Linked DNA regions of Daphnia pulex. The protein of the gene in region 2 purifies or fractionates together with the protein of the main gene of each other region. This does not show direct contact. Links are inferred from orthologs where the notes say so. Each region holds a gene or a part of one and is shown on either strand. Other genes may lie near its edges.

Region 1 (4,148 bases), on a different chromosome or scaffold from region 2:
CATGAGTCTGTAACCAAGTTGGATAGACATCATCTGGGGGAAGGGATCGGGTAAAAAAGGTTTTGGATTGCTCTTCTGCTTTTCTTTGATGCTGATCTCGTATCCACGAACGATTTTGTTTGATTTATTTACCAATTAGTTCCAATAAAATCTAAGTTGAATCCGTGCCGTTGTCTTTCTCTTTTTTTGTCTTTGCGGATTCCTGTACCAGTAGTCTGTCAGCTTGTGTGTCGATTAAACTTTTGTCAAGCTCATTGATTTAATCGTTGTCATTGAAGACGTCGTTAACTGAAAGATGTACTTGGTCGCTGTCAAAGGGGCTGTCATCGATTGCATTGTCCTTAATCGACGTTTCTGTTTCCTTATTATTCTTCTTTGTAATTTCTCATATTTTGCGCGCGCATTACCAGTACTTTAAATTTTCCTGTTCATCTGCGAAGTTTATGTTTGATAACGCGTTATTCGCTGGCGGCTGCTCAGGTTGCGTTTTCAGTTTGTCGTAGGGATCTGGAATCCTGTAGGTTCCGTTCGCTATTCGTTTTGTTTTCCAGATTTTTTTTTAGTCCATGACAATATCACAAACTTGCAGGCATAAAGCCCATCTAGCAAATTTTGTAAATTTCTTTTATTTCTTCATAAATTTCTTAACGGCTTGTAGTTGCTCAATGCTTGATTTTTCTTCCGTTTCTCTACGGGTAATGTTTCACAAGTATGTGAAACAGATCGGTTACAGGAGTCTGTAACAGCTCTGTGTGCTACCTGGGTAAATTTATGAAATCACACTGGCATTGGGCGACTGCGACGTAGTCACGGGAGTCACGTTTTTTCAAAAATTTTGCGCGCGCGCTCTTGCTCTGCCAGTCTCTTTTTTGTTTTGTTTTCTAATGATACGAGAATTTGTGATTTCAATTTATGTTTTTTGGGGGGGGTTGCGGTTCTACATTGTTCCCGTTAATCCCATTTCTGATCCTCAACAAGTACATCGTTTTATTGGTTTTCACATAATAACCATTTTCATCATCATTAATTACATCATTGTGTTTCATGCATAACACGGTTTTAAAATAATGGGGGCTTTTGGGGACAATTCCACGATGTTATACATTCCACGAAGTACCGTGTTGTCCAAGCATTGTGTGGGGAGGTATTTTTCAAAAAATCAAATTCCACGATTTCACTTTCCACGAAATACCGTGCCTCCGGCTATTTCCACGGGAGTTGGCTCCCCCCATTTGGGGGCGGAGTTAGGCTTTCCACGGCGCTTTTTCCACGGCTCACCGGTCCACGATCCACGTTCCACGCACATTGAATACCGGGACCGGGGACCCGTTTCTTTCTATCGATATTTCTTGGCCAAGTCGTATTTGCAAGCCGTACTTGCTTACTCGCGGATTGTGGAAGTTATAATAATTTAAAGGCTTTTTTAAAGAGTTTCGAAGGCCGAACGCCGAAGTTGTAATGAATTAAAGTGCTGCTTCTGATGCCCTCAAACAGCCTACAAAATAATATATAAAATATAACTGATACTGAATAACTGATATTTTGGCCTATTTGAACTCACCCCACCCCTCCCAAAAAATAGAAATGAAAAAAGTTAATGGGAAGAAAATTGCCAGAAAAATTGTCAGGTTTTGTGCTCATCTATCAAAAGACATGTCAGTAAACTTGCTAGATAATTTTTCTTCCTCACCTACCAATGTATTATGTCTGATAAATGCCGGTTTATTAAATGGATTCACTAGAGAAGAAATATTGGATATTTTTGAACATTTTGGGGAAGTTGAAAATCTGATAATGTTAGAAGGAAAATCTTATTGTGTTTTAAGCTTTAAGAAAGAAAATAATAGTGCTGAAAGCTACCAGAAACTAAATGGAAGTTTCTGCTTGAAGGATGAATCTAAACCTCTGTACTTGTGTTTTCTGAAGTGTATTGATGGTGAGGATTTACAGCAATAGCAGTATAAAGCATTTTGTAAGTACTAAGTTGTTTGTTTTCATTTTGGAATTTAGACACATTATTAAGTTTCCAAGAAACTTCAAAGGTTTGGCCCACTGGACTTAAATTGAAGAAAAATTTTATTTCATTGGGAGAAGAAGAAAAACTGTTATTTTTTACCCATACTCAGCAGTCTGAATCACAGACTTCACAGCTTAAACATAGAACAGTGAAGCATTATGGCTTTGAGTTTCTGTATGGTAGTAATAAAGTTGACAAAAACCCACTATCTTCTGGAATACCTGTTGAAATGGAGCCACTCGTAGAAAAATTTATGGAATTTGGTTTGGTGAGACCAAATCAGTTGACTGTCAATCATTATGTACCTGGACAAGGGATACCTCTTCACACAGACACACATAGTTCCTTTGAAGATGGAATTATCAGTGTATCACTGGGTTCTGATATTGTTATGGATTTCAAAAATAATAAAGGTGGAGAATGTGTCAGTATAACTTTGCCAAGACGTTCGTGCTTAATAATGACAAACGAATCAAGGTAAATGTCTATAAGAACTTCATTGTTTCGTCAAATCACCAAAACATTGGATTCAATTTTTAGATACATGTGGAGTCACGGTATTACGCCACGAAAATCTGATGTAGTTGATGCCGAGTTTGGAGGCTTGACCATTCTTCGGCGAGAAAAGCGGACGTCTTTAACGTTTCGTAAAATACGGACGTCGGAATGCGATTGTAAATTTACCGAATGGTGTGATTCACAATCATCAAAGGTCGTAGATTTTTCAGAAGAGGCCGCTGACCAAATCGAAAAAAATCATGTATTTCATGTTTACGATGGAATCGCATCCCATTTTAGTGAAACAAGGTATTATTTATTATCATAGTCGTATAGATCATTCTTTTAATACGTGTATTCCCATTAACGATAAATGATTAAGGCATTCGCCGTGGCCGAACGTAAAAGCGTTTATAATGAGTTTTCCTGTTGGGTCACTGCTAGTAGACATCGGTTGCGGAAATGGCAAATACTTCAACTGTTCGAGCTCATTGTTTAGTATTGGAACTGACCGATCAAGTCAACTATTAAAAAGTAGAAGATTAACAATCGAAATCTCTTTATATTTCCTAGGTGTCACATGAACTATTTTATTTCATTTTAGTTTGCAGGAATCGTGATGATCATCAGGTTGTTAAAGCTGATTGTCGCGTTTCGCCGTTTCGAGATAGTATAGCTGATGCTGCGATATGTATCGCCGTCATTCATCATTTGACAACCGATGAACGTCGTTTGAAAACGCTGATTGATATAAGCCGTACCTTACTTCCACATTTTAAATACTTTATTCCATTTTATAACTTGTTTTATTTTTTTTTAAGGTGTGCTGGTAAAGGGTGGTCGAGCTCTAATATATGTTTGGGCCAGAGACCAACAAATAGGAATGGAAAAATCTTCGTATCTGCTTCAAAAAAAGAGTGAGGTATCTAGTAGAGCAGAGGCATATCCTACAGCGGTTTTACCGGTACACGAAAATCGGACAAATTTCAAGCATGCTGATATTCTTGTTCCATGGAAACTTAATTTCCGAAATTCTAATTCCGAAGATTTAGAGAATAGAGGAAGCTCTGAGTCAAATCCTTCTACCTACCTGAGATTTTATCACGTATTTAAGGAGGGTGAATTAGAATATTTATGTTCCAGGGTTTCGAATATCACTGTTTGTCGTAGTTTTTATGATCAAGGTAATTGGTGTGTTGAGTTTAAGAAAGAATAGCTGAATAGAACATTGGTACAAAAGACAGATTTAATTTCGTTCATAGCAATTATTTCATCAATGCTATTACAGAACTAAAAACTGAGCAAGATTTCATTCCAATGTGGAATCCGTAACTTTTTCACTCGAGTCGGGAGGGAATTCGTAAGTATGAATGGGTAAACATGTCAATAACCAAGTTATCATTGAACCGTTTTGAATGTCCATCTCGCCATTATAAATAATTGGCAGAATAAAATCACCGCAGAATGTTTCTATGTCTTTATCAAAGGAGCTCCAGTCTAAAGTTTCATGGATTCCATCACCCCCGTAACGACGATTATAGCTATCGTAGTGCGGCTAAAATGCATTAATATATAACGCTCAATAATCATCACTGAGATTTTAAAAAAAGATGATTTTAAAATATTGATTAAT
Region 2 (2,717 bases):
GTGACTTCAAATCAGGGATTTAAATTTTGAACGTGTTCCATCCTTTCAAACGTAGGAATCGTAATGCTGGAGCAATTCCCAAACATTTTCTGATAAATGGTATTGATATTACATTTCCTGTATAATCTGTAAAGCACAGAAACTGAACCATTTTCATTTTAGATACACCTAGTCGACAAGCAATGCAAAATGTTGATGGTTTCAAATGGAGAAATAACATTAATGGTATTTTTAAATATATTTATTTTGTTTAATATCAAATAACGCAATTCTTAAATATGTATTGTAGTGGAAACAAATGCTAGCAATGCATCAGTAAGGAAACGACCAAAAGTAGACAAAATACCTACTACGTCTAAGAGAAAAAAATTTGACAGTACAGGTATTGATAATAGTTCTCGTTACATTTTATTTTTAAGAGCAATTGCTTTAAATTTTATCTGATAGCACCCTCCATGGAAATTACCTCTACTATTAAAGAATCAATCAACATTCCCCAGGCTGCTGAAGAAGCAATTTTTGATCCACTTCCAGATTCAATCAAGGAAAATCTTGCTGTTGTCATGGAAGATACGACAGTTGCATCACCTTCTGTGGAAGCTACCTCTACTATTCAAGAATCAATGGACACCCACCAGGCTGCTGAAGAAGCAATTTTTGATCCACTTCCTGATGTTATGAACGAAAATGTTGCTGTTGTCATTGAAGATTCGACAGTTACATCACCTTCTATGGAAGCAAGCTCTACTAATTTCAAGTCTAATTTTGTGACATTTCAGTCACTAGTAACTTCATCAATGGTACCAAAGAATTGGACATGGTATTTTGATCAAATTAAACAAACGATTTTTTGCATTTCGATGGATCAACTACCAAATGAAAATTATAATGTGAAAAGTGTACACTTTCAAAACAAGAAGTAGTGTATTATGTCAACGGAACAATAAACAATTTACACAACCAAACAATAAAATGTAAGAATGTTTGGACACTTACAAAGAATAAACAATTTACGCAACCAAACAATAAAATGTAAGAATGTTGGGACACTTAGAAAAGACCTAGAGGTTTGACAGTTGGATACTTCTACCTTTTTATTTTGTTCACTTCTTGTAGAAAAGTAAGCTGTGATTGGTCAATGAGTTTTTCATAGACCCTTCCTGATTGGCTGGCTTCACGTAGTACCTGACACACTCACTAGAGGCGCTCATCATTTTTTCCAAATCGGACCACGTTTACCCTGAAACCGGGATAGGGAAGCCAACACGGCCGAGAACCGACCAGGTATCTATTGCTCTGGCTGGGGTGAAACCGTGAAAGCAAAAATGTAAACCCCGTCCGGCACGGCAGCGGTTTGTAGAAAATTTGTTTTGGAAAACACACGTGTGTTCGTCTGTCAAGAGCTCAATAATTTAACGAATTAAGAATGAAACTTTTAACTCACAATATATTGACTTCTAAATGTCTGAAAGGCGTAACAGTTGGGTATCCTCTAGGCATTGTTGTAAGTACTCTTTGATTAATCATTTTTTTTACCAAAATGAAATACTTTATATGTTTTACAGGCAAAAGAAGTTAAAGTGAATGAAGTTGATTTCAACCCAGAATTCATTTCACGGATGATTCAAAAAGTGGACTGGCCAGCTCTCTGTAAAGCTGCAGAAAATGTAAAAAGAAATCACGATTTGAATGCTACCCTTTAAAAACGGTTAAATATGTGTTGATTTTCTGTTTCTACATTATCTAGCTTGGACACACTGATGAACTTCCCCCAACTGTTGTAGATGACTATGAAAATAATGAAGAATTCTTGAAAAAAGCTCACCACTTTTTAATGGAGGTAATAATCTTCTTATTTTATTTATGTTCCATTTTTTTATTTACCATTTATTTAGATTGAAGTCATGAATGGAGATCTGATATGTCCTGAGACAGGGAGAAAATTCCCTGTTACTGATGGAATTCCAAACATGTTAGCTAATGAAGATGAAGTGTAACTGAAGTAGAAAATACAAGTCAATTCAACATGTGTCCAATTTTTTAAATAGTGCTTTATTTTCCATTCCAATTCACAGACTGATAATTTACTTTATCATTCTCATCCAAGCTACACATTAAAACAGTTTTCTTAACACTTGTTCCCAGACGACCTTTTTGTATCAGAAACCAAGGAGTCAACATCTGATGCTCTTCAACACACACAGCTATGAAATGTGAATGAAATTTTAATGGATCACCAGGATAAACCAAGTAATCACCACCAAATTTCTCACCAGATGTTATGTAATAACCTTTCTCCCACAAGTCACTGAACACTTTACACCTGAGAGTTGGTCTAACATTATAATCTAATGGCAATACTGATTCCCCCTGACATGTCCAGTGAGGCCCTACAACAAGAACAAAAAAGTAGATCATTCAAATGATCATTCATCACAACATTATTTATCTGATAAAGACTGATAATATTATTTCTTACTTGTAAAAATTTGAACCATCATCAAATCTTTAGACATTTTAGGAATTTTGTCTATTTCTTCTTGAAGGGCTATTTTCTCATCAACAGTCTTTCCATTCATTTTTCTTCTCTTGCCCTCAATGATTTTATCTGCCATTTGTAACAGCTGCTTGGTTCTTTCTTCCTTAAAGATAACTTCTTGGTCAGCAAAGCTTGCTTTGTGCATTTCCTCTATTTTCTCCTTGTTTGGTCCTTGAGC

The links. Proteins that work in one complex are often made in the same cells at the same time.
Region 1: the proteins of multifunctional methyltransferase subunit TRM112-like protein (region 2) and alkylated DNA repair protein alkB homolog 8-like purify together in Homo sapiens (co-immunoprecipitation; 3 studies listed by IntAct, with this or other methods). This does not show direct contact. The link is inferred for Daphnia pulex from reciprocal best matches to the Homo sapiens genes TRMT112 and ALKBH8.

Annotation. Positions count from the first base shown.
Region 1 is NC_060026.1:6,039,401-6,043,548, forward strand, and holds alkylated DNA repair protein alkB homolog 8-like, read left to right. Parts: upstream 1-1,338; 5' UTR 1,339-1,584; coding exon 1,585-1,936; intron 1,937-2,010; coding exon 2,011-2,494; intron 2,495-2,557; coding exon 2,558-2,824; intron 2,825-2,897; coding exon 2,898-3,049; intron 3,050-3,119; coding exon 3,120-3,272; intron 3,273-3,336; coding exon 3,337-3,731; 3' UTR 3,732-3,758; downstream 3,759-4,148. Other genes in the region: tRNA pseudouridine synthase A-like, read right to left, coding at 3,825-4,070.
Region 2 is NC_060017.1:6,066,934-6,069,650, forward strand, and holds multifunctional methyltransferase subunit TRM112-like protein, read left to right. Parts: upstream 1-1,343; 5' UTR 1,344-1,426; coding exon 1,427-1,504; intron 1,505-1,565; coding exon 1,566-1,667; intron 1,668-1,747; coding exon 1,748-1,840; intron 1,841-1,895; coding exon 1,896-1,997; 3' UTR 1,998-2,002; downstream 2,003-2,717. Other genes in the region: uncharacterized protein LOC124191043, read left to right, coding at 183-225, 290-382, 448-923; tRNA-splicing endonuclease subunit Sen34-like, read right to left, coding at 2,053-2,390, 2,480-2,717. UniProt on the Homo sapiens protein: Acts as an activator of both rRNA/tRNA and protein methyltransferases. Together with methyltransferase BUD23, methylates the N(7) position of a guanine in 18S rRNA.